2 linked regions of the Mytilus edulis genome follow. The protein of the gene in region 1 purifies or fractionates together with the protein of each later gene. This does not show direct contact. Links are inferred from orthologs where the notes say so. Each region holds a gene or a part of one and is shown on either strand. Other genes may lie near its edges. The genes, in order: E3 ubiquitin-protein ligase RNF19A-like and superoxide dismutase [Cu-Zn]-like.

Region 1 (11,499 bases):
AAGTTGGCAGAACTGGGACACAATGATTCCCCTGGCAAGGTTGGCTTTTGCTGATGAAAAAACAGACAATGCTCTGTGAATATTGCCGTTAGTTGCCCCAAGCACGCCAATAAAAAGTCTGCTTTGAATGTGGGAACAACTAAGTTAGGTTAAGCACCAAAAGAATAAATAACAGATAGAAATTTTTTATCAAATACAGTGTATAATGTCTCCTTAAAAACAAATGACACCCACTTTGTATTATGCAGCAAACTCTTGATTTTTAAGGCATACTAGGGCTAGCAGGTCAGTTTTGATGGACTAGCAGTTCTTCCAACAGGGCTAGTAAAGTCCTGCTGCCAATAAGTCCTGGGCTAGTTAGCTGAAACAATTTTTTTTAACCCCTGAGCATATCAAAGAACTCCAAGATTTCAATTTTTGTTAAAATCAGACTAAGTTTAATTTTGGACCCTTTAGACTTTAGTGTAGACCAATTTGAAAACAGAACCAAAAATGAAGAATCTACATACACAGTTAGATTTGGTATATCAAAGAACCCCATTTATTCAATTTTTGATGAAATCAAACAAAGTTTAATTTTGGACCCCGATTTGGACCAACTTGAAAACTGGGCCAATAATCAAGAATCTAAGTACATTTTTAGATTCAGCATATCAAAGAACCTAACTGATTCATTTTTTGTCAAAATCAAACTAAGTTTAATTTTGGACCCTTTGGACCTTAATGTAGACAAATTTGAAAACGGGACCAAAAGTTAAGAATCTACATACACAGTTAGATTCGGCATATCAAAGGACCCCAATTATTCAATTTTGATGAAATCAAACAAAGTTTAATTTTGGACCCTTTGGGCCCCTTATTCTGTTGGGACCAAAACTCCCAAAATCAATACCAACCTTCCTTTTATGGTCATAAACCTTGTGTTTAAATTTCATAGATTTCTATTTACTTATACTAACGTTATGGTGCGAAAACCAAGAAAAATGCTTATTTGGGTCCCTTTTTGGCCCCTAATTCCTAAACTTCCTTTTGTAGTCATTAACATTGTGTTCAAATTTCATTGATTTCTATTTACTTAAACTAAAGTTATTGTGCGAAAACCAAGAATAATGCTTATTTGGGCCCTTTTTTGGCCCCTAATTCCTAAACTGTTGAAACCAAAACTCCCAAAATCAATCCCAACCGTTCTTTTGTGGTCATAAACCTTGAGTCAAAATTTCATAGATTTCTATTAACTTAAACTAAAGTTATAGTGCGAAAACCAAGAAAATGCTTATTTGGGCCCTTTTTGGCCCCTAATTCCTAAAATGTTGGGACCAAAACTCCCAAAATCAATACCAACCTTCCTTTTGTGGTCATAAACCTTGTGTTAAAATTTCATAGATTTCCATTCACTTTTACTAAAGTTAGAGTGCGAAAACTAAAAGTATTCGGACGACGACTACGACGACGACGACGCCAACGTGATAGCAATATACATCGAAAAAATTTTCAAATTTTGCGGTCGTATAAAAATGTAATGAAAGACTCTGTATACCTATTGGTAATAAAACTACATGTATATAAATGGCTGAAAACATGTATGCTTCAAATACAAAAGTTTTACTCACTGGTATTTACTCCCCATGCCAATTGGTCAATACTGGCAAATAGTGCCAAATACAGGTGGATTGAAATTTGCATGCTTCTTTTGACTTACATGTATCTATCAATTATAGTAAAAAATATTCCTTTGGCATAATTCAGTTTATAAAAATAAATCTAATATAACATCCCTCTTTCGATAAAAGAAACAAAGCCACGTTTTAAATTTCTTATTAAAATATATAACAAGCTTAACTTACAAGTAGGGCTGTAGGTGATTGATGCCATTATTGAAATGGCAACCTCTGTTGCAGTTTGAAAAACACTGTAGGTCTAAATAGACATTTGTTAGCATTAATTGGATATAAGATGATGTGTGATGTGGTATGAGTGCCAATGCAATGAGACAACTCTCCATCCAAGTCACAATTTGTAAAAAGTAAAGCATTACAGTATTTCCCAAACTCTGACAGACAAAGTGTCCTTCGGTCAGACAGAAGTTTTAAGAGTTTTTTAAATTTTTAGTTGAAAATTTAGTAGCAATGAATCTCGAAAGACAGAATAACACTTAAAATTTTCATACACTGTATATATTATTGACTTCTAAACATTGATTATTAAATAGCAGTATATTATAAAGATTTTTCTTTAAATCTTCGTCAATTTATCCCTTTAAATTTTCTGCACCCATTGTATAAAAAAATTTAATCTACGTGTGGTTCGTTTGATCTCAGTTCTTCATTGGTTAAAATCCGATTATGACGTTGAATTTTCTTGCTTTCCTCTGAATTTCCTATTGTGATGGAATGAAAAATTTTTTTGTGGGGAATTTGCCCCAAAGTTGGTCCTCAGGTACAAAAAGCGTCAATTTTGACCTTTTTTCGTTCTTTTTCTCGACCTGTAAGTCCGAGAGATGCTAATAGATGCATCCATCTGTAGTTTACATGTAGCGTGGACACCAGTGAACACTTTTATCACAACAGTTGTTAGGTCGGAGTGAAACTGATCTGGGTTCATCAGTGTAAAGAAGGTCATTTGCCCCAAAATTCACCAAATTTCGGAATTTTTCCAATTTTGAACTTTAACTGGACTTGCAACCGGAAGTAGTCGTTTCCTCGGCGTATTTTGATAATAGACACGACCAGTCGTTATGTGCCTTTAGGTTAACGGTATTTGTCAAGGTTTCAATCCTCTGAACTCCGTGATTCAGACCTTGAAGGTAAATCCACCCCTCCAAAAAAACCAATTTTGTCCGATATCAAATTTTGAAGTTCGTATTTGAGCTCAAAATGAATATTTAAAGTGAGAAACATGACATGTATAGTTTCAGATTGAGGAAACGTTCATACACTACGAAATAAATGGTATTACGATGACCTCTAAATGTATGGAGCGCCATTGATGCCAAAATATTGGTATTCTGGGTACGGCCGTAATATTACGGACCCCGCACGACAAGGGTTAAGTAAGTTTCAACATTATTTTTTTTTTTGGCGATTTTTAGATGACCAGCGTATCCCAAGGCCTTGATAACCTTTAAAGGCCCCAAATAAGACGAAAAAACATCAAAATTGGACAGAAAACTGAAAAAAATGGTTTCTGACATCAGGGTTCTTAACCCTTACCATGCTGAGTTGTTTTCAGAAATTGTCTAAATTTCGAGTATTTGCAAAAATATGCAAATGATATGCAAATGAGCTGTACCCTGATGCTGATGCATACTGATTACAATAAATCTAAAATAGGTGATCACGGGGTGGGGTGGTCGGGGTGAGGAGGCGGAATTTTTTTGTGGGGAATTTGCCCCAAAGTTGGTCCTCAGGTACAAAAAGCGTCAATTTTGACCTTTTTTCGTTCTTTTTCTCGACCTGTAAGTCCGAGAGATGCTAATAGATGCATCCATCTGTAGTTTACATGTAGCGTGGACACCAGTGAACACTTTTATCACAACAGTTGTTAGGTCGGAGTGAAACTGATCTGGGTTCATCAGTGTAAAGAAGGTCATTTGCCCCAAAATTCACCAAATTTCGGAATTTTTCCAATTTTGAACTTTAACTGGACTTGCAACCGGAAGTAGTCGTTTCCTCGGCGTATTTTGATAATAGACACGACCAGTCGTTATGTGCCTTTAGGTTAACGGTATTTGTCAAGGTTTCAATCCTCTGAACTCCGTGATTCAGACCTTGAAGGTAAGCCCACCCCTCCAAAAAACCCAATTTTGTCCGATATCAAATTTTGAAGTTCGTATTTGAGCTCAAAATGAATATTTAAAGTGAGAAACATGACATGAATAGTTTCAGATTGAGGAAACGTTCATACACTACGAAATAAATGGTATTACGATGACCTCTAAATGTATGGAGCGCCATTGATGCCAAAATAACGGTATTCTGGGTACGGCCGTAATATTACGGCCCCCGCACGACAAGGGTTAATATATATTAAAAAGCAGTTAGTTTATAAAGATCGTTATAAATATAGTGTTTTACATCCAACATGGCTGAACATGGCGACCTAGGATAATGCATACATGTATATACATTTTGTACCAAGTGACAAGTTGGCCATGTTGGATATACACACTTATTGACACTATTTTTAAAACGATCTTTATGAACTTACCTGCTTGCTATATATATATCATTTTTAAGTTATCAAATACACTTATAATACAATATTATTTAATAATCAATGTTTAAAAGTCACCAATTTGTGCTAATTATATTAAAACTTCTAGAGGTATTCAGTCATTTCAAGTGTTATTCAGAATTTCCGATAATAACAGTGTTATTTAGTCATTCGTGTGACCGGCAAAACATCAAATTTCATTTTCGGTCAAACAAACCCTTAAACAGTTTGACACAAACTGCCATTGTATAAGTCACAGTAGGGTCTTTAACACAGAGACTTGACTCATCACAAACCCCAACAATGAGTAAAACTATTCAAACCAACAACGATGTCGTTGAACATGTTATCAAATGTATATATATTAGTCAAAATAATTATGACGTCTGGCAAGGCTATTTTAATTTTCTTCTGGGACGCCTTCCTACGACGTCATAAAGCTGAAGCCATTTTTTACATCTGGAGTTTGAGAGCAAATTTTGGGGTGAACTTTGAGACCTAATTTTGAGACATAAAATTTTCCTTGCAGGTTTAAAATTTTTACGTAGTTACAAAGTCTTACCTTTTTTGTGCTTATTGATGTAATATATTTCCAGAAATATCCAGAAGAAATGGTAAAAAAGATACGATTCCATTTGAGTCGGGCAAATATTTATTTTCATTTTTGTTTCAAAATGATTTAGCACAATTATCAATGAAACGTCACTTCCGGTGAAAATAAAATATTAATATCGGTAAGATTCAATGGACCCGAATTTCAGTAACGTTCGATTTACATTAACTGGAAATTCAGGTCTTTCAAAATGTCCCGGTTTTAATATTTTATATTCACTGGAAGTGTCGTTTCATTGATAATTCATAATTTGTGGGAAATTTTATGTCTCAAAGTTCCCCCCAAAATTTGCTCTCAAACTCCAGACGTAAAAAATGGCTTCAGCGTTATGACGTCGTAGGAAAGACAGAAAAAAATTAAAATAGCCTTGCCAGACGTCATCATTATTTGGACTATATATACATATATATATACATGTATGACCAGTTCATAATAATTAGTCCCGGAAAATTAATGAATTAAAATCAGTCAGCCTTAAGCACTTTAAATACAGAGGCATTAACTATATGAACAAAACTGAAAGTCGAGGATTTTCAAAAATCATTACTGAAAGGGTTATTGAGTAAATATTTATTTATTTATTTTTTAGTCTATTTTTAACACTAACAGGTCGTCAACATTATCATCCCACCAAAGGTAAAATGTAATATACTCACAAAACATCTTACAATCTTATAACTTTAAACTGCTACACATTTTGATTATTTTTACCATTTCTTAATCAGAAAACAATGTTAATAAGAAATTTACAGGAAACTGTCAACGGAAAGATGGCAACTCCCGCCGGAAGTGATCTCACTCAACAAAAACAAACAAATAGTTATTATCGTGGTTTCGCCACTATGTTTCGTCCCTTATATCTAAGATTGGATTTTTTTTTACATCGGATGACCGTAAGGGAGCTACCATTTGATTTTTATGGGGGGCTAGGATGAAATTTGAAAAAAATAGGCAGGACAGGAGTTTTGAGTAAAAAAAAAAGGCAGGATGAGACACTTGCAAAAAAAAAAAGTCAGGACGACAATTTAGGTATAAAAAAGTCAGAATAAACTAAAAAAAAAAAGGCAGGACCGAACAGAGTGAAAAATAAAAATGCAGGACAGAGATTACAGCTAAAAAAAAATGCAGGACAAAATTTTCATGCTAGCCCCCCCCCCCCCCCCCATAAAAATCAAATGGTAGCTCCCTAAGGACATTCCGGTGTATTCAACCTGTTGTAACAGACATTTCTACCCATATGACTTTTGTTTTTTGACTGATAACCGAACACAAAATAAGTTAAAGTTGTTGACCACAAGCAAGTCGGTATTTTGGATTTAAACTGCACGACTCGGGTGATCCTAATTCACGGGGGGGGGGGGGGGGGGGGTAACTTCGATATGTGTTTGGTAGGGGTGTGCCATTTTTGCCTAAAAAAAGTACCCATTTTAATATAACATTCACTGAAATTCAGTACCTATAGTTATATAAATATTTAAGAAAGAATGACCTATACTTATATACAATATTTAAAATATGACCCATGCTTATATAAGCACTAACTCATCATCACTCATAATTCATAAATATACCAGCTACCCTTAAGTTTTTATATATGAATTGACATCGTTTATTGAAGATCAAATCAGGAGACAAATTTCCGGGGTTCATTTGGGAACTTATTTGAAAGGTGAACTTTCAAATGAATTGATTTAATTTAATATAATAATTGACCATTATTAATGTAAGATTCTCAATAGCATGTTTATTCATGATTATGGAGATCATACCCCAAATCAATATACAGTTATCAAACGTAAATGCATTTTAATATAGGATGTCATTAAAAAGGAGGGTCATTTTTATATAAAATCTCGCAAAATTATGACCCATATTTTTGGCACATCCCCGTATACCCAATAATAGGAAGTTACTCCCCCCCCCCCCCCCCCCCCCCCGTGTCCTAATTAACCCGGGAACGCCGCGTACGTAGGAGTTCGGGTTAAAGGGTCACACGAGCCGTGCAGATTAAATCCTATATACCGATTTGATTGGCCAAAAACTGTTTTAACACATCAATTTACGTGAACGTTTTAAATATGTTGACGGTATTCCGCGGCAATACACAACTCATAGGCAATTTCTTGTAAAGTAATTAAAGGGGGAAATGAGCCTTTATGTAGTAATTAAGAGGTTGGTAAAGGTTTTAAATTATTACTATTTTTTTTATATTTAGGCTTCTTTCTAAGTTGTTACATTATTTGCGATCTAATTGTTGATATTTTATATCGTTTCTGTTAAATTTGTTCATAAGTTTTTATTTAATTGGTGACGCAGGATTAAGACTTTGACATATTGTGTACTTTCAAATCGGTGTAAGAAAAATCATTACTGAAAGGGTTATTGAGTAAAGATAAATCGCTTTTCTTTCCCTCAATGAGAGAAAGATGACGGAACAGAAGAAGATATTGGTACATAAATTGAGAATGTTAAATAAACAGAAACAATGTTTCTCTTTCCAATCTTTTACTCCCCAAGACCCAAATTTAAAGTCGATCCCCAAATAGTCACTTTATACGAATAAATATGCAACTAAAGTCGTAACTTATTCAAATCAGATTTCTTTTTTGGCCGCTGAGAAACTACAAAAAAGTAAAAGTCATTATAATCTGTTCTGACTTTAAAACACTGATTTAAGATTTACATTGTGCACACAAAATATAATAAAATATTTAATGTCCCCGTTTAGATAACAACAACAAAAAGGAAGGAGAAACCTTTCTTTTATCATAATGGGCCTCGTTCGCCAAGAAGTCTAAGAAGTTCTTCTACTGTAATCACTAGACAGTCAACACTGAGGTTTTGAGGGTGAACTCTGCCCGTGCGGGGGTTCTCGACTCCAATATTAATTGATTAGGATTTTCAGTTTTCCTATCAAAGGTGGGTGGTTTTCATTGGGAACTCCGGCTTCCTACATCAACAAAAACTGGCCGCCACGAAATAGCCGAAATGTTGCATTTAAAAGTGGCGTTTAGTCTCGCTACAATCGTTCATATTTTCTTAATTTTATAGAATAACACCCCTTTCAAAATCCAGGAAACGCCCCTATAGGTAAGAATACAGATTTGAACTGCATATGCAGTATATCTGATATATAGTTAATGCACACCTTAGCTGTGCATTATCCAGATTATAGCATAGTAAAAAAAAACAAAGAGATTTTACCTATGGCATGTGTTAACATTCCTTATCGCTAGAATGCTGAGGATTAACCTTCCTTACATTACCTTACCTCTGTATCTTTAACCCCTTTTGTAGAGGAACGGTCCCATAAGAGAGTATGTAGAACTTGTGATCTGTCTGCAGTTTCTATGTACAATAATGCCTGGACACCAATTATGTTGCAGTGCTCTATATATATATATATATATATGTTCCGGACCATATGAGTATTTGGACCATATGCGTATGGTCATGACCATATGGGTATATACTCATATAGTCCGACCATACGTATACGCGGGGTAAAAAACACGTTTACTTTAAATTCTTTTGAACTCTTCATAAGGTATGAAACTTCTAGTTGTCATGTCTGAAAATGGTAATTTTATCATATCAGGAAACGCCCCTAAAGGTAAAAGTACAGATTTGAACTGCATGTGCAGTATATATCTGATGTAGTTAATGCCCGCCTTAGGTGAAAATGGTAATTTTATTATATTTTCAGGATAAAAAAGATAAACTAAATAAACATTTAAAAAAATAATCATTTTCACACAGTTAATTTTACTCACTATTTGTAAGTACAATAAGAAGATGTCAAAATCAAATGCACATATTGTGAATTAAAGGAAGTTTTGTTACTTTAGGTATACCGGACCAGTGGTTGACAAGGCGTCTTGTAATTTACCTCGTTTATTGCGTCAAGTATATCACGGGCAAGGACCATAGTTTTTTTAAGTTGTCCTGTGAATATAGCGTTCTGCAGTCATCATTGAAACGTTTCTAATGCATATTTGAAAAAAAACCTATATGGTCCAAATACTATATGGTCCGGAACATATACACTAACAGGAGGGAAATCCCAACCACACTCACTTGTATTAAAAAATCTTTGTTGTATAGTTAAATTGTATCTGTGCTTATCATACGATGATTAATAGTGAAGTCACTATAAAATTCCTTTCTTTCTTTGTATATCAAATTGAGATTGGAAATGGGGAATGTGTCAAAGAGATATCAACCCGACCATAGAACAGACAACAGCAGAAGGTCACCAATATGTCTTCAATGCAGCGAGAAACTCCCGAGATTTGTGACAAAGCTATTGTTTCTTCTTTTATGGAAGTGGTTAGTTTTTTCAGTTAAAAGTCATTATCCTAATTATTATCATCCGCAAACTATCCTACAGCGGGCTATACGCGTTTAGTTAGGCGTTCTAATTTTGCTACATTAGTTGGAGAGAATTTCCCTGATGTTGCTACCGGTTTGATGTCCAGAATTATTTGCAACTTTTTATTGCCCAATAGTTTATTAAATTGAATTCCAAGACTGTTTAGTACAACAACTGTTTCTACAAGTATCTTGTTCCTTACATTTCGGAGTTGGACGAGGTTTAATATGACTCGAAGTGGGTCACAGTTTCATCATCCTTTGAGCATAGTAGACATTTCGGATTGGTTTCGTCCGCAAACAATTTTTTGGGATCGTATAATGGTATCATGTCGTCTGCGTCGTCGTCGTCCGAAGACACATTTGGATTCCGGACAATAACTATAGTTTACGTACATAGATCTCTTTGAAATGTAATAGGAAGGTTCAATACCACAAAAGGAAGGTTGGGATTGATTTTGGGGATGCTGGTCCTAGCCGTTTAGAAATTAGGGGCCCAAAACAAGCTTTTTTTCTGCTAACAGGTTTATTACTTGTGTATAAGTATTTCAATTGCTCTGAAATTGTACCACAATGTTAAATACCACAAGCAGAAGGGTTTGATTCATTTAGGGTGTCAACAGTTTAGGGATTAGGGGCCAAAAAGTGGCCAAATACAAGCATTTCTGTAGTTTCTGGACAATTACATTGTACCACAAAGTTCCATTTCACATAAGGAAGGCTGGAATTGAGTTTGGTGGTTAATGCCCCATTCATGCTAGAATTAGTGGTCAAAAAGGGCCAATAAAAGCATTTTTCTAGTTTCATGAAATATAAATTGAGTTAATTATACATGTAGTCATATGACAAGGTATATATTTTTGATAGACAAAATATATGAAAAGGGTGGGGTACTTGATGCCCTACCAAAATAAGTTTGAAGTGGTCCCCCGAGACATTTACAGTAGAAAGAATAGGGGGAAGTTAACATGTTAACAACAAATGCAAAAATGCAGATAACAGTTTAGAAAGTGGTTTGAAAACAGGTAACAGTTTTAATTTATCTCAGATAACAGTTATAAACAACACCGGCCTTGAAAAAAGGCCAAAACAGTGGTTAACATAAAAAGGTATTGCCCCCTTCAGAATAGAATGGTAAGCACTTTCAATTAATATAAGATGCTGCATGCATTATTCAATGTTATACATTATATGCATTGATAGTGCAGCATATTGTATATATATAGAAGCCAACAAGTTCGCTCGCACATGAAAAAAAAAGATAATGACCAAAAAAAAATCACTCAAATTATTTTTCTTTTTGTTAATTACAGGGGGGTCAGTTATTTTTCCCATCTGAATAAAATCCTTTGCGATAGACATAATAAAGTATGTATTAAGTGTTATTTGCATGTGAAATTACTCGATAACTATACTACAGTAAATATGTATGCTTCTGATATCTTTATCTTTTGTATATCAGATCCTCAGATCAGATCATATGATCAATAATCACCATTGTAGAGAAAATGTCAATTTTAGACAAAAATCTGGAAAGAAGATAAGTTATTGTTAAAAAAAAAACGTATGTGTGTATAATGAAAATCGAAAACGAGGTCCGTAAAATCTGTAAATAATGAAAACAAAATCACGTGGAAGGGTAAAATTTAATATTGTCATCGTCTAATTCGTCGTAGCTAGTGTGTAATCAATGATTAATCAGAACTGCCATTTGACAGAAGTCAAAACAATCGTTGCACGAAAATGATCGTCGTTCAGCTTTAATTGCTGCAGTTGTTCGACATCGAACTGGAAATTATAGTATCATCAAAAATGATGGGGAAATTGTTTTCTTGTTTTCATCGACAGAAAGACCGCCAGGAGGCTTACAGTACGTACACATTTTAGTATAATTTTTCAACTTCATTCATGATCATTGAGTTATCTGCATAGCGAAATGTGAGTCCCAGTGTTTGAATACACACTGATTATATTTGTCAGTATATTTCCCGCATTACGCTTTTTCGTGTGTAGAAATCTTGCAAATTAAGTCATCGATGGAATCATTTGAGTTGGTACAGATTTTTGTCTCGCGCTGAGTCATTGGTTATAAGCTCATATGTCTTCCACTGGGTTAGCGGGTACTTGATTTCTTACGTTAAATGGTCTTACATCAGGATATAATAAAATTTGACATTCAGGTGCTTTAAAATTCAAGCAGGTTACAAGTAAAGTAATGTGTAACGCTTCCAACCTATGGTGCACACATTTTCCATATCTATAATAGTATGTGGAAGGTTGAATAAAATTGCATTGTCAATGAA
Region 2 (11,207 bases), on another chromosome or scaffold:
TGAATTTATACTCTTTTTCATCCACAATTTTGTTCATTGTTTTTAAACATTTTCTTTTTTATTGAGAATCAATATTTACAGTGCTTCTATCTGTATATTATTGTTATAATTCAATTGACATATTGTATGAAGGATTTCAATTTTGAAGAAAGTATATTTTCCATAAAGTTTAAAATTAAAAGATATATCATACCACACTCAATATTCTATGGCCATGAACATTCTAAATAGAAATTATTACAGTAATACAGAGACAAGGAATGGCTTCATGTTCTTATGGGCACTTTGTTACATGATTTTAAATAATAATAAAAAAAATCATTTTGCATTGCTACTACATAAAGTATTCATTTGAATGCATTACACCTTTGAAATTCCAATGACACCACAAGCCAGACGACCCCCAGCATTGCCTGTTGTCTTGCTTAGCTCATGGCCACCTTTACCTAAGTCATCTATATCAGCATGGACCTGAAAAGAAATAGAAAATGTGTGTAAGTGTTTAATGTTTTACATATATCAGAAGTGACACCTTCAAATAAGAAAGCATGGATCAATAAGATGGACTTTATTTGTTCCTGTACTTTCACTTATGGTTCATTGCCTGAATATTTTGCATATTTAACATGTTATAATATCATGAGTATTGCTATTTTAATTTCAACATTATTTTGTATTTTACTATTGAATTGATTAAACCTGGAGAGCATAAAAATGAAGTTATGGTATTGTGATAAAATTCAGATTGACATGATTTTATGATGTACTGTTACACCACTGTCACAGCTAAGGGGATGGTTGGTGCCTTCAAACGTCTAGAACCCCACTACATTATTTAGGTGCCTGTCCAAAATAACCTGTAATTCAGAGGTTGTTGTTTGTTGCTTTGTTACATATTTGTTTTTCTTTCTTTATTTTATACATAATTTAGGCCGTTAGTTTTCTTGTTTGAATTGTTTTACATTTGTCATTTCTGGAGCTTTAAGAGCTGATAATGCAAAATGTGCTTTGCTCGTTGTGGAAGACTGTACGAAGACCTGAAGTTGTTAATTTCTGGGTCATTTAGTCTCTTTTAAAGAGTTGTTTCACATCTATCACATCTCCTTACACATAACATATTCAGACAGACCTAGACTTTTTACAATCAATCCATATAGTCCACATGTATGAAAAATTGAGGTCATGCATTAGCAAATGATAATACACATTTTACACAACTTTAAAAATAAAATAAGAAAAGGCAACCTAGGTTGTGTATATGTTATGTTTGTAGAATTAAGCATCCTTATTGATATTGATAAAAAATACATGTTTTTAGTACATGTATCGTTATATTGTGGAATAGCCATAAACATTTTTGACTTATTATCATATTTTTCCTAGGCTGTGTCTGGTTTCTGATATTACTTACTACTACTGTTCTTCCTATGATAGACTGGGGACCAGTCAGGGATAGCTTTGCATCTGTTATTTTAATTTCTGCTTTTCCATCTGCATTTGCTAATACATTTCCCAGATCACCAACATGTCTTTCTTCATCTCCTGGTGCACCATGGGTCTTTCCAAATGGGTTGAAATGTGATCCTGCACTAGTACAACCTAACAGAAACAAAAAAGTTTGTATATTCATAAATGTATAACTTCATGTTCAATGCAATTCTATTTATCTCAAAGTTTCAGGAATTGTTTAAAATGTTCTAATGTGTCTATAGTCTTACCATTTGTGTTGTCTCCAAACTCGTGAACGTGGAAACCATGTTCTCCTGGAGCTAGCCCAGTTAACTCTCCTGTCACTGTCACTGCTGAATCACCATTCTGAAAGGTAATCAATTATCAAATATTAAAACCAGAAGTTAAATACATATGTAAATTAGACAAAAAGTCTTCTCTTCAATATGTTTCCAATTGTATACAAACTTCCTAAAATAGTTGAAGCTCATTTCCTACATCATTTTCATAAAATCTTTATCTGACATCAAACTCAGAAATATTTGTTATTTATGTGATAATTTAAATAGATTTGAATAAATGTAATCTAAGTTTTCAAACAAATTTATGACTTAAACATGAATTTTTGTTTTGTTTTGTGACCTCTAGGTTACAATTTGTCAAAAAAATCAGAGATAATTTGAAAGAGAAAAATATGATCAAAAATTCAAACTGCAATCTTGAAAATTCATGGTTTACAAATGTACACAAAATTTATAAATTCAAAAATAAAAAAATATTAAAAACCAATTCTTCAGAGAACAATTGAAGGTCTTTCCACCTCGATAATAAGAATGCAATTTAAAAAACAGTGAACATTGGAAAATGTCACTCATGGTTCATGTAATTTGTTACTTCAAACTGATATAATAAAAACAATTATAGGTACTTTTTCATAGGAATAGTCTGAAATAGGCTACTTCCGGTTAAAAAACGGTCATTTCCCGTTGACATGGTACATGATGAAATGTCTGCAACCAAATGCAGAAGACTTTATTGTTTTATAATGAACCAGTAAGAATTCTCAGCAAAGGTCAAAGTCTAGAACGTCAAATTGACCTTTGAATTTGACCTCAATTTCAAGGTCATAGGTCAGTGATCTCAAATCAAAAGAGCCCAGGTAAATCACTTGTATGGTTGTGAAGTAATACTAATTTCAAATACATAAGGGGAGAAAACTCCTATAAGGGTTGATCTAAACACTTCCGACTTAAACAGGTTAAAGTTGTGCCCTTTCGTAAACATTTATTTGGCAAACACATCATATCATTAACTGTTAGTTTCTTTTGAATAAAGATATAAACAAGCAAAATTAATTTAGAACATGACCTTGACCTTTGACCCTGACCTAAATTTTCTCCAAACGGAACAAGGACTTCATATCAAAAGACTTTAGGCCTCTACGACTTATAATGTATGAATTTATCCAACATATCACCTATCTTAAATTTTCAAAGAGAGATAACTCCCATAAGATGTCATCCGATCACTCCAGTTAAATTCATCAAACCGTTCTTAAGAGCAGACAAACAATTTGGTGAAAACAGTTTGTTGAAATCTTTAACGGTTCCAGATATAAAGATAACAAGAAAAAGGGGACGTGGGGAGATAACTCCTATAAGAATAAGCGTTCGGTCACACAGGGTGAGTTTTGAAGCCTCAATTACTGTACAACATCATTGGCCAAAAATCAGTTTGATATGTTGTAAACAAAAAAGCATCTCAGACGGCAAAAGAAAAACAAAAATAATCAGAAGAAAAACAAAAGGTCTTTCCACGAAAAGTGGAAAGACCTAAATATCAAATAACTTTTGTCCACATACATGACATACTATTCTACATTCAATGTTAATCACTCTTCTTCAACCATACGGCATAGAATTTTTAAGGTGATCGAAGATATAGAGACAATAGTTTTGATCATTGTTGAACTCTCGTAATATTTAGACTTTTTTATTCTTTGTGTTATTAGTGAGACCTTTAGGAAGAGCTGAGCAGAGTGATACTGTATAGACAGTTGAATTGTAAGAACAATGATAATCATGATAATAGGTGTCTTGAGGGCGAAAACATATGCCAGTCCACTGGTACGCATTCTGTTCTGTTTTAAGCAAAAGTCCACTAAAAACACAGTAGTACTGCTACAAGGTCTATACTCGGAGTAACTCCATCCCAAAAACATCTATGATACAACAGCCCCTCAAATGAGGCATAACCCCTAAATGTAACGACTATCCTTTTAAGTGGGGTTAAAATGGTTAAAATCAAGTGGTGAAAAATATATATTTGTTGCTCTTTATCTGGTGTTGATTCTATGCCAGACTATGGGCTACCCTTGTTCTGTTGTCCCCCAGTGTGTAGTTGAAAGCTGGTTGTATATCCACTAGTTGGTTCTTGATCTTGTAGCAAAGGATGAGTCACTGGTTCATTTATCTTTGCAGAAGGGTATCCCACTCGCGTTGGTCTTTCAGTCCAGTGACACAGCCTGAGGAAGTGTCGGTGTACTAGTTGTATACCAATCGTGCTTTTTTGCACTGTACCCGTTCAAGGTCTTTGATCAAGCTTACTCCATCGATGGTCTGAATGCACCAAAGGCTGTGTTTTTGACTGATGGCTTACACTGGCCAAGGTTCCTGCGGAAAAAACTGAGGGTCCTGGTTGCCTTTTCGGTTAATAATAGTATCTCCCAAGGTACTGGATAAAAACACATTCCCAACCTGATAGTGATACTAGCCCTGTGCTCTAAGTCTGACAACATACATGTTCTATGTTTTGACCTTTGACAAAGAGGTAACTTTTAATAGTCATTTGAAATTTCCTTTCTAGGATAAAGTTTTTTTTACGAAACTCATAGAAAAGGTTGCCGTAAAGGGGGCTATATTACAAAAGGTCAAACTGTAGTCATATGACATGGAAATTATGTTGACCAGCAACATGAGCAACAAATTTTGAAAATTATTTAAAAAAAAATATTACCTGTTGACTGAAAGCGACTGTTCCTGTAACAGCACCATCTCCTTTCAAGACACAAACTGCTTTTATATTAGCTGCCATACCTACAGAGATAAGATTTTCTTATGAACAAGTGACCGGTAAGTGACCGTAAACTGCGAGAAAATGTGGACAAGTGTCGTGTGCAACGGGTGTTGCTAAAACGCAGAAACAGATTACGAAACGGAAAAAAGAAAACATGTAACTGAAATGAAAACATTTTTTTGATTTTTTGTAAAGTTTAGTGGTATTTTAGGTTCTGTGGTAAAAAAACACGCTCCGATTTAACAGCGCGAAGGAGAAACGAAAAATAATAAGAAACGAAAAAACAAAAAGAAAAGAAACGAAGCGAAAAAGAAAACTCAAAAAGAAAAGAAACGAAACGAAACGAAACGAAATAGAAATCACAGACTTTGAGATAAAACAAAATTGTTAAAATTGGGATATGACCTGTATTACAAAATAGTATATTTTTACGAAATACATTATTAATTTTGGCTATTATATATGTAGGACTCTAAAGTGCGATGGTAAAACTGTGTGAATGATCGATCTAGTAAGTCCATTTTCAGTAACAAAGAGGCTGTGAAATGTCTATCATCTCTTCAAGATAAGTATGTTGTTGTTCCTGCGGACAAAGCTTCAAATAATATTGTCTTTGTATGTAAATCGTATTACTACGAGTGTCTTATAAAAGAATTAGGAATAAATGAACACTCAGGTAATCCCACATACAAAAACATATCATTTGACAAGGATGAGATTTTGGCGAATCATAAGTCCTTCATGGCTTCTATGAACATTGCATTGAACAACAAATCGGAGGACTTACCTTGTTTGTATTGGATACCTAAACTTCACAAAATTCCGTACAAACAACGGTACATTGCCGGCTCATCTGCTTGTTCTACTAAAGAATTGTCCATTAGATTGACTAAAATTCTGTCCGCAGTTAAAGAGGGTCTTCAGATATACTGTGAAACTGTTTACTCACGTAGTGGTATTAACCATATGTGGATTCTGAAAAACTCTAAAGAACTTCTGGATAATTTTAAATCTCGGTCTTTTTCTGAAATTAGTTCTATTAAAACTTTTGATTTTTCAACCTTGTATACAACCATTCCCCATGTGAAATTGAAAACCCGTCTAAAAGAAATAATTCACAATGCTTTTCATCATAAAAATGGTAGCATACGCTATAAATTTATCACTTTGGGATACCATAAGGCATATTTTGTTAATAAGGAACAAAAGGGTAAAACATACTACACAGAGGAACAAGTGATCAGTATGCTGGAGTTTCTTATTGACAACATATTTGTTGAATTTGGAGGTAGACTTTTTCAACAAATTGTCGGCATTCCTATGGGAACGAACTGTGCGCCTCTCCTTGCCGACCTCTTCTTATTTTCATATGAATCGGAGTTCCTTCAGACACTTGTCAAAAACAAGAAGATAAAAAAGCCAGGTTATTTAATTTCACTTTCAGATATATTGATGATGTTCTTTCCATTAACAATCCGAACTTTTCTGATTGGATTCCATTAATATACCCACCAGAACTAGAAATTAAAGAGACCACAGACACGGCTTCCTCTGCCTCATTTTTAGACTTATACCTCGAATTTGACATACACAGTCATCTCAGTACCAGAATCTATGACAAACGAGACGATTTTAATTTTGAAATTATCAATTTCCCCCACCTTAGTAGTAATATACCAACTTCACCTGCATATGGAATATACATTTCCCAACTTATTAGGTATTCAAGAGCTTGCAGCTCCTATTCAGACTTTGTAAAACGTTACCAGTGTCTGAGCAGAAAATTGATGAACCAGGGGTATGTCAAAGAACGTCTCGTCCTTTTTCTTAAAAAGTTCATCGGAAGATACCCAGAACTTGTTGATAAATATTCCGTATCAACTTCACAAATAATACAAGATGGTCTTGAAGTATAGATTTTGCGTACTGACGTTTGTTAGCATCTTAATTACGTATTATAGTATTCTTTTATATGTCTGTTTTAGATATTCATTTGAAGTGACTCTGTGGTTACGTAAAACCACATACTTTGAACGGCAAAATTATTTCATTTATTGATATTACTTTTACTTAAGGATCTTGACATACTATGAATGACTAAACTATTTTATAGATAAATTCAGCCGTATTTGACGTGAAACTGTACTTATGTGTCCCGTCATACTTTGAACCACGCCATTATTTTATTTATTATTTTTACTGTAAGTCTGTTTTTTGTTATATCTACTTTACGTGAGTCTGCATTTATGTATGCCGTCATACGACAAAATTATTTTTATGTCTACCTGTGCGAATTTCAAACGCGCAATTTTACACCAGTAATGAAAACCTTCTTTCATTTATGGGTAGACTTTACATAGATAAATTCAGCCGTATAAGAAAAGCAAAATGAGAATGTTAAATTTGATGTATGCCTTTTTGTGCTACTTTGTTACATTTGTTGTTTATGTAGTGATATTAAGATGATAACACAATATTGACTGTTGTATCCCTATTTTTGACATTTTTACTCTTTGAGTATATTTGTTTTGTTCATGCATCGTTGACAATGTAATGGAATTTGATGCGACTGTCATACAAGTGAGAGGTTTAGCTAGCTATAAAACCAGGTTCAATCCACCATTTTCTACATTAGAAAATGCCTGTACCAAGTCAGGAATATGACAGTTGTTATCCATTCGTTTGATGTGTTTGGACTTTTGATTTTGCCTTTTGATTTTTGATTTTCCTTTTTGAATTTTCCTCGGAGTTCAGTATTTTTGTGTTTTTACTTTTTACTCTAAAGTGCGATGGTCACGCTAAAGTGCGATATGGTCTACGCTAAAGTACGATGGTGTATCACGCTAAAGTGCGATGGTTGTTTATTTGCTAAAGTACAATTAAATATCACGCTGATGTGTAATGGATCAAAAGGGTAATTAATGTTAAAGGGCTTAAAACTTTAAGCAACACGGATGTTAATAAATAATCTTTTTGCAAAAGCTAGTATGCTTAGGTTTTATAAAATATGTGATAGACTTTATAATTACCGGTGAGGCTTAAGTGATTGTTTTTAAATCTAGAAGAACGACCACGTAGTCATTGCTAAAGTGTTAATTTAAGTGTGACAAAAATCTATATATCCTCTGTATGATTTTTTTTTAAATTCGGGCCGGTATCAAATATTTTGATAATTGGCGTTTCTTGCCGTTCAAACAGTCTATCACTAATGTGAACATCCCCCCTAAAAGTCGTCATTGTAAATTACAAATTCGAAATTCGTTTATTGTGTGACATTTATTTGTTTAAAAAATTATTAATTTAAATGAGAGGGAAATGCAATGATTACCGAGCTTTCTCCTTTTTCGCATGCGATACGGATTTTGCCATGTATTATTCTGTTTATCATATATTCTAATAAAATCTGCAGAATCATGGGCTATCCATTTTTTTTAAATCGTCCGAAATTATTAAATAATTTAGAAAATAACATTATGATTTTGCTGTATTTTTCCGGCTAACTTTTTTTTATATAGACTTCCTTATTTGCTTAATATCCATCTACATCTACATCTACATAATACTTCTGAACTTCAATATGTTGAAGATTACAAGAAGGCACATACTAGGGAAACAAATTAAAAAGCTAAACATATTTACAATAATTGCAAAAAACATTTTTTTTATTTTTTTTGGTATATAGATAAAAAGATGATTTGGTTTAGCAATACATTTGGTTTTGCACCAGACTTAAAAGCGTCTGGGATACAGGCTACTTGGTATCCACATCGTAATGTCCCCTATATTCTTATTACATTCTCAATATACTTTTAAAGACCATGTATTTTTAAAATGCACCCACTTACGAAACTGGCCCCGTATTCACAAAACTCTCGTAACGTTACGACTGTCGTAAGGTAAGGTCTACGATATCGTATGTTGTAATTTGTATTCACGAAAGAAACTTACGATACGATGTGTTGTAAATATTGTTATATGCTTACGACTGCTCGTAAAAAATCGAGGCAGCGCTGATATGAGAGGAAGCGAACCATTCATCAGACGAACAAGTGTATTTTTCGATAGATCTTATCCATATGAAAGATGAAAGGCCGATGATTTGCTATTAATGGATGCAGATTTTCGTCCGTTCGTCCCGCTTCAGGTTAAAGTTTTTGGTCAAGGTAGTTTTTGATGAAGTTGAAGTCCAATCAACTTGAAACTTAGTACACATGTTTCCTATGATATGATCTTTCTAATTTAAATGCCAAATTAAAGTTTTGACCCCAATTTCACAGTCCACTGAACATGGAAAATGATAGAGCGAGTGGGGTATCCGTGTACTATGGACACATTCTTGTTATACTTACAATTTGTGATGTCTCCAAACTCATAAATGGTAAAACCTTGTTGTTTAGCAGCTATTAAACCAGACAGAGGACTTTACTGGTTTAATAGATGCTAAACAACAAGGTTTTACCATGACTGGTGAATCACTATTCTGAAAGGTAATCAATTATCAAATATTAGAACTAAATACATTTGTAAATGAGACAAAAGTCTTCCTTCTTCTACTTTACACATATTTGCAAATGTTCTAGAATAGTTCATTTTAAAAATTTCTATTAACAAATATAATTGTTGTTTTTTTTTGTTGATAATTCGATAGATCGAGTCAGTTTTTTGTTCGCATACTCCAAAATCAACCAATCAAAATGCTGGATTTCATGTTTCGAGCATGAATTTTGTGCTCCGAGCACTAAGCAAAGTTTTATGACTTCAACCCTAATCATTTGAGCTTTTCAGAAAAGATAACAGATACATATAATATAGGATCGTGTGATCACTTAAACAAAATGAAGAAAGTAAAAAATGTTTACTCAAATGAGAAGGTGTGATAAGGCTCCTTTTTTGGGCTCCAAGATTCGGAAATAATGTTTTATAATATATCTATTAAATAACACCCATCTTATCTACATAGTTAATCTGATTAAAATACAGATCCTTTGTCGAAGCTTTTCCTTAACACTAAGACCATAATTAACGATGATGCTAATTTTTAAAATGATGATCACCAGATAATTAACTTTCTAATCAGAGATCTCAAATAGGGCAAAACTTGTTTGGTAAAATGTAGAATGGAAATGGGGAATGTGTTAAAGAGCCAACAAACCGACCAAAGAGCAGATAACAGCTGAAGACCACCAATGGGTCTTCAACACAGCGAGAAAATCCCGCACTCAGAGGCGTGCTTCACCTGGCCCCTAAAAAAATGGGATATTGAACGTCATATTAAACTCAAAAATATATAATTAAAATCATACAAGACTAACAAAGGCTAGAGGCTCCTGACTTGGGACAGGCGCAGAAATGCGTCGAGGATACCTAAACATGTTTTGTAAGATTGCAACCCTCCCCTTTACCTCTAGCCAATGTAAATATAGAACACACACAGCAATACTCACCGAAAGTCCGATTCCGATGTCAGAATAGGCAACAAAAGGTACTAAATAAAATGACGATGATTAAAAAAATTAACAAAGGACTAGTAGCAGTCACTTACATGCCAGCTCAAAACCTCAATTAAACTGATAGAAAGGTTATGTTTCCATCAAATTAATGGATCCAGGGGGGCCTGGGGGGCCCGCACCTCCCCCCCTTTTGTGGGAAAAATTTGGTTAATTATATAGGGAATCATTGAAGCATGACTGGAGCGGCCCCCCTTAGGTCAGTCAGCGGGGCCCCCCTTAGGAAAAGTTCTGGATCCGCCACTGTCATCATAAAATTTATGAGGAGAAAATAACCCGTAACATGCCAACAACTGGTTTTAAAATAAATGTGTTTATTTCCGATGCTAAGACCCTATAAGTGATTCAATATCAAAGCCAAAATCTGTTTTGTTAGCTTTTAGGTGAATGTCGACATCTTTGTGCTTTGTAAAGTATATAACCATAAAAGATTGGATGTGAAATACCTAATCGTATAAGTTGTACATGCATGTTGATATTTACAAATGATGTGTTTGTACCGATGATAAAATTTATTATGTTCTTTTTCACGGGTTCAACCGAACATAAAGCATTTCTTTTCTATACAAGGCTTAAATACACAAACACAAATATTCTATGTGATGTAGGTTTGCAGCATCCAGTCATTTAATAATAAATTCGGAACATAATAACAACATGTGAACAAAAAATTTAGAATGGCAGGTGTTACGCAAAAAACAGTCCTTATCACATTCTCTTCACTATAGAAGTATGATCAACAGCCTGCACAATCTACAAAATACAATTACAAAAATTAGAAACAATTCACAACTACATGTAAATGATTGTAAACATGAAATTGAATAAATACTGTAACTTTGGACAGTGTACATGTGTGTCTGTTGAATTGTAATATACTTCTATAAGAAATAGCTTATACGTGTGAAAGACAGTACCTATAGAACAAAAATTGTTTTAAAAACAAGAACAAAAAATTAAAGAAAAGTCAAACAGACCTTAACAACAATTGAATTAAACGTCTAGACTGATTGAATGCAAACCGTCGAATGATTTAAATTCCCGCTTAGTATGCACGGGTGGATTCACCCGTGCAAATTACTACGCATAACGGTATTCGTTAAGCCTTATAACGAAAAGAAATTTATTTATGTTCTTTTTCACGGGTTCAACCGAACATAAAGCATTTCTTTTCTA

The links.
Region 2: the proteins of E3 ubiquitin-protein ligase RNF19A-like (region 1) and superoxide dismutase [Cu-Zn]-like purify together in Homo sapiens (affinity purification with western blotting, with the first as the bait; 3 studies listed by BioGRID). This does not show direct contact. The link is inferred for Mytilus edulis from reciprocal best matches to the Homo sapiens genes RNF19A and SOD1.

What each region holds. Positions count from the first base shown.
Region 1 is NC_092355.1:45,847,411-45,858,909, reverse strand, and holds the start of E3 ubiquitin-protein ligase RNF19A-like, read right to left. Parts: upstream 5,628-11,499; 5' UTR 5,482-5,627; intron 1-5,481. UniProt on the Homo sapiens protein: E3 ubiquitin-protein ligase which accepts ubiquitin from E2 ubiquitin-conjugating enzymes UBE2L3 and UBE2L6 in the form of a thioester and then directly transfers the ubiquitin to targeted substrates, such as SNCAIP or CASR.
Region 2 is NC_092353.1:20,699,677-20,710,883, reverse strand, and holds the start of superoxide dismutase [Cu-Zn]-like, read right to left. Parts: upstream 4,642-11,207; 5' UTR 4,543-4,641; coding exon 4,465-4,542; intron 1,816-4,464; coding exon 1,719-1,815; intron 1,600-1,718; coding exon 1,412-1,599; intron 472-1,411; coding exon 361-471; 3' UTR 1-360. UniProt on the Homo sapiens protein: Destroys radicals which are normally produced within the cells and which are toxic to biological systems.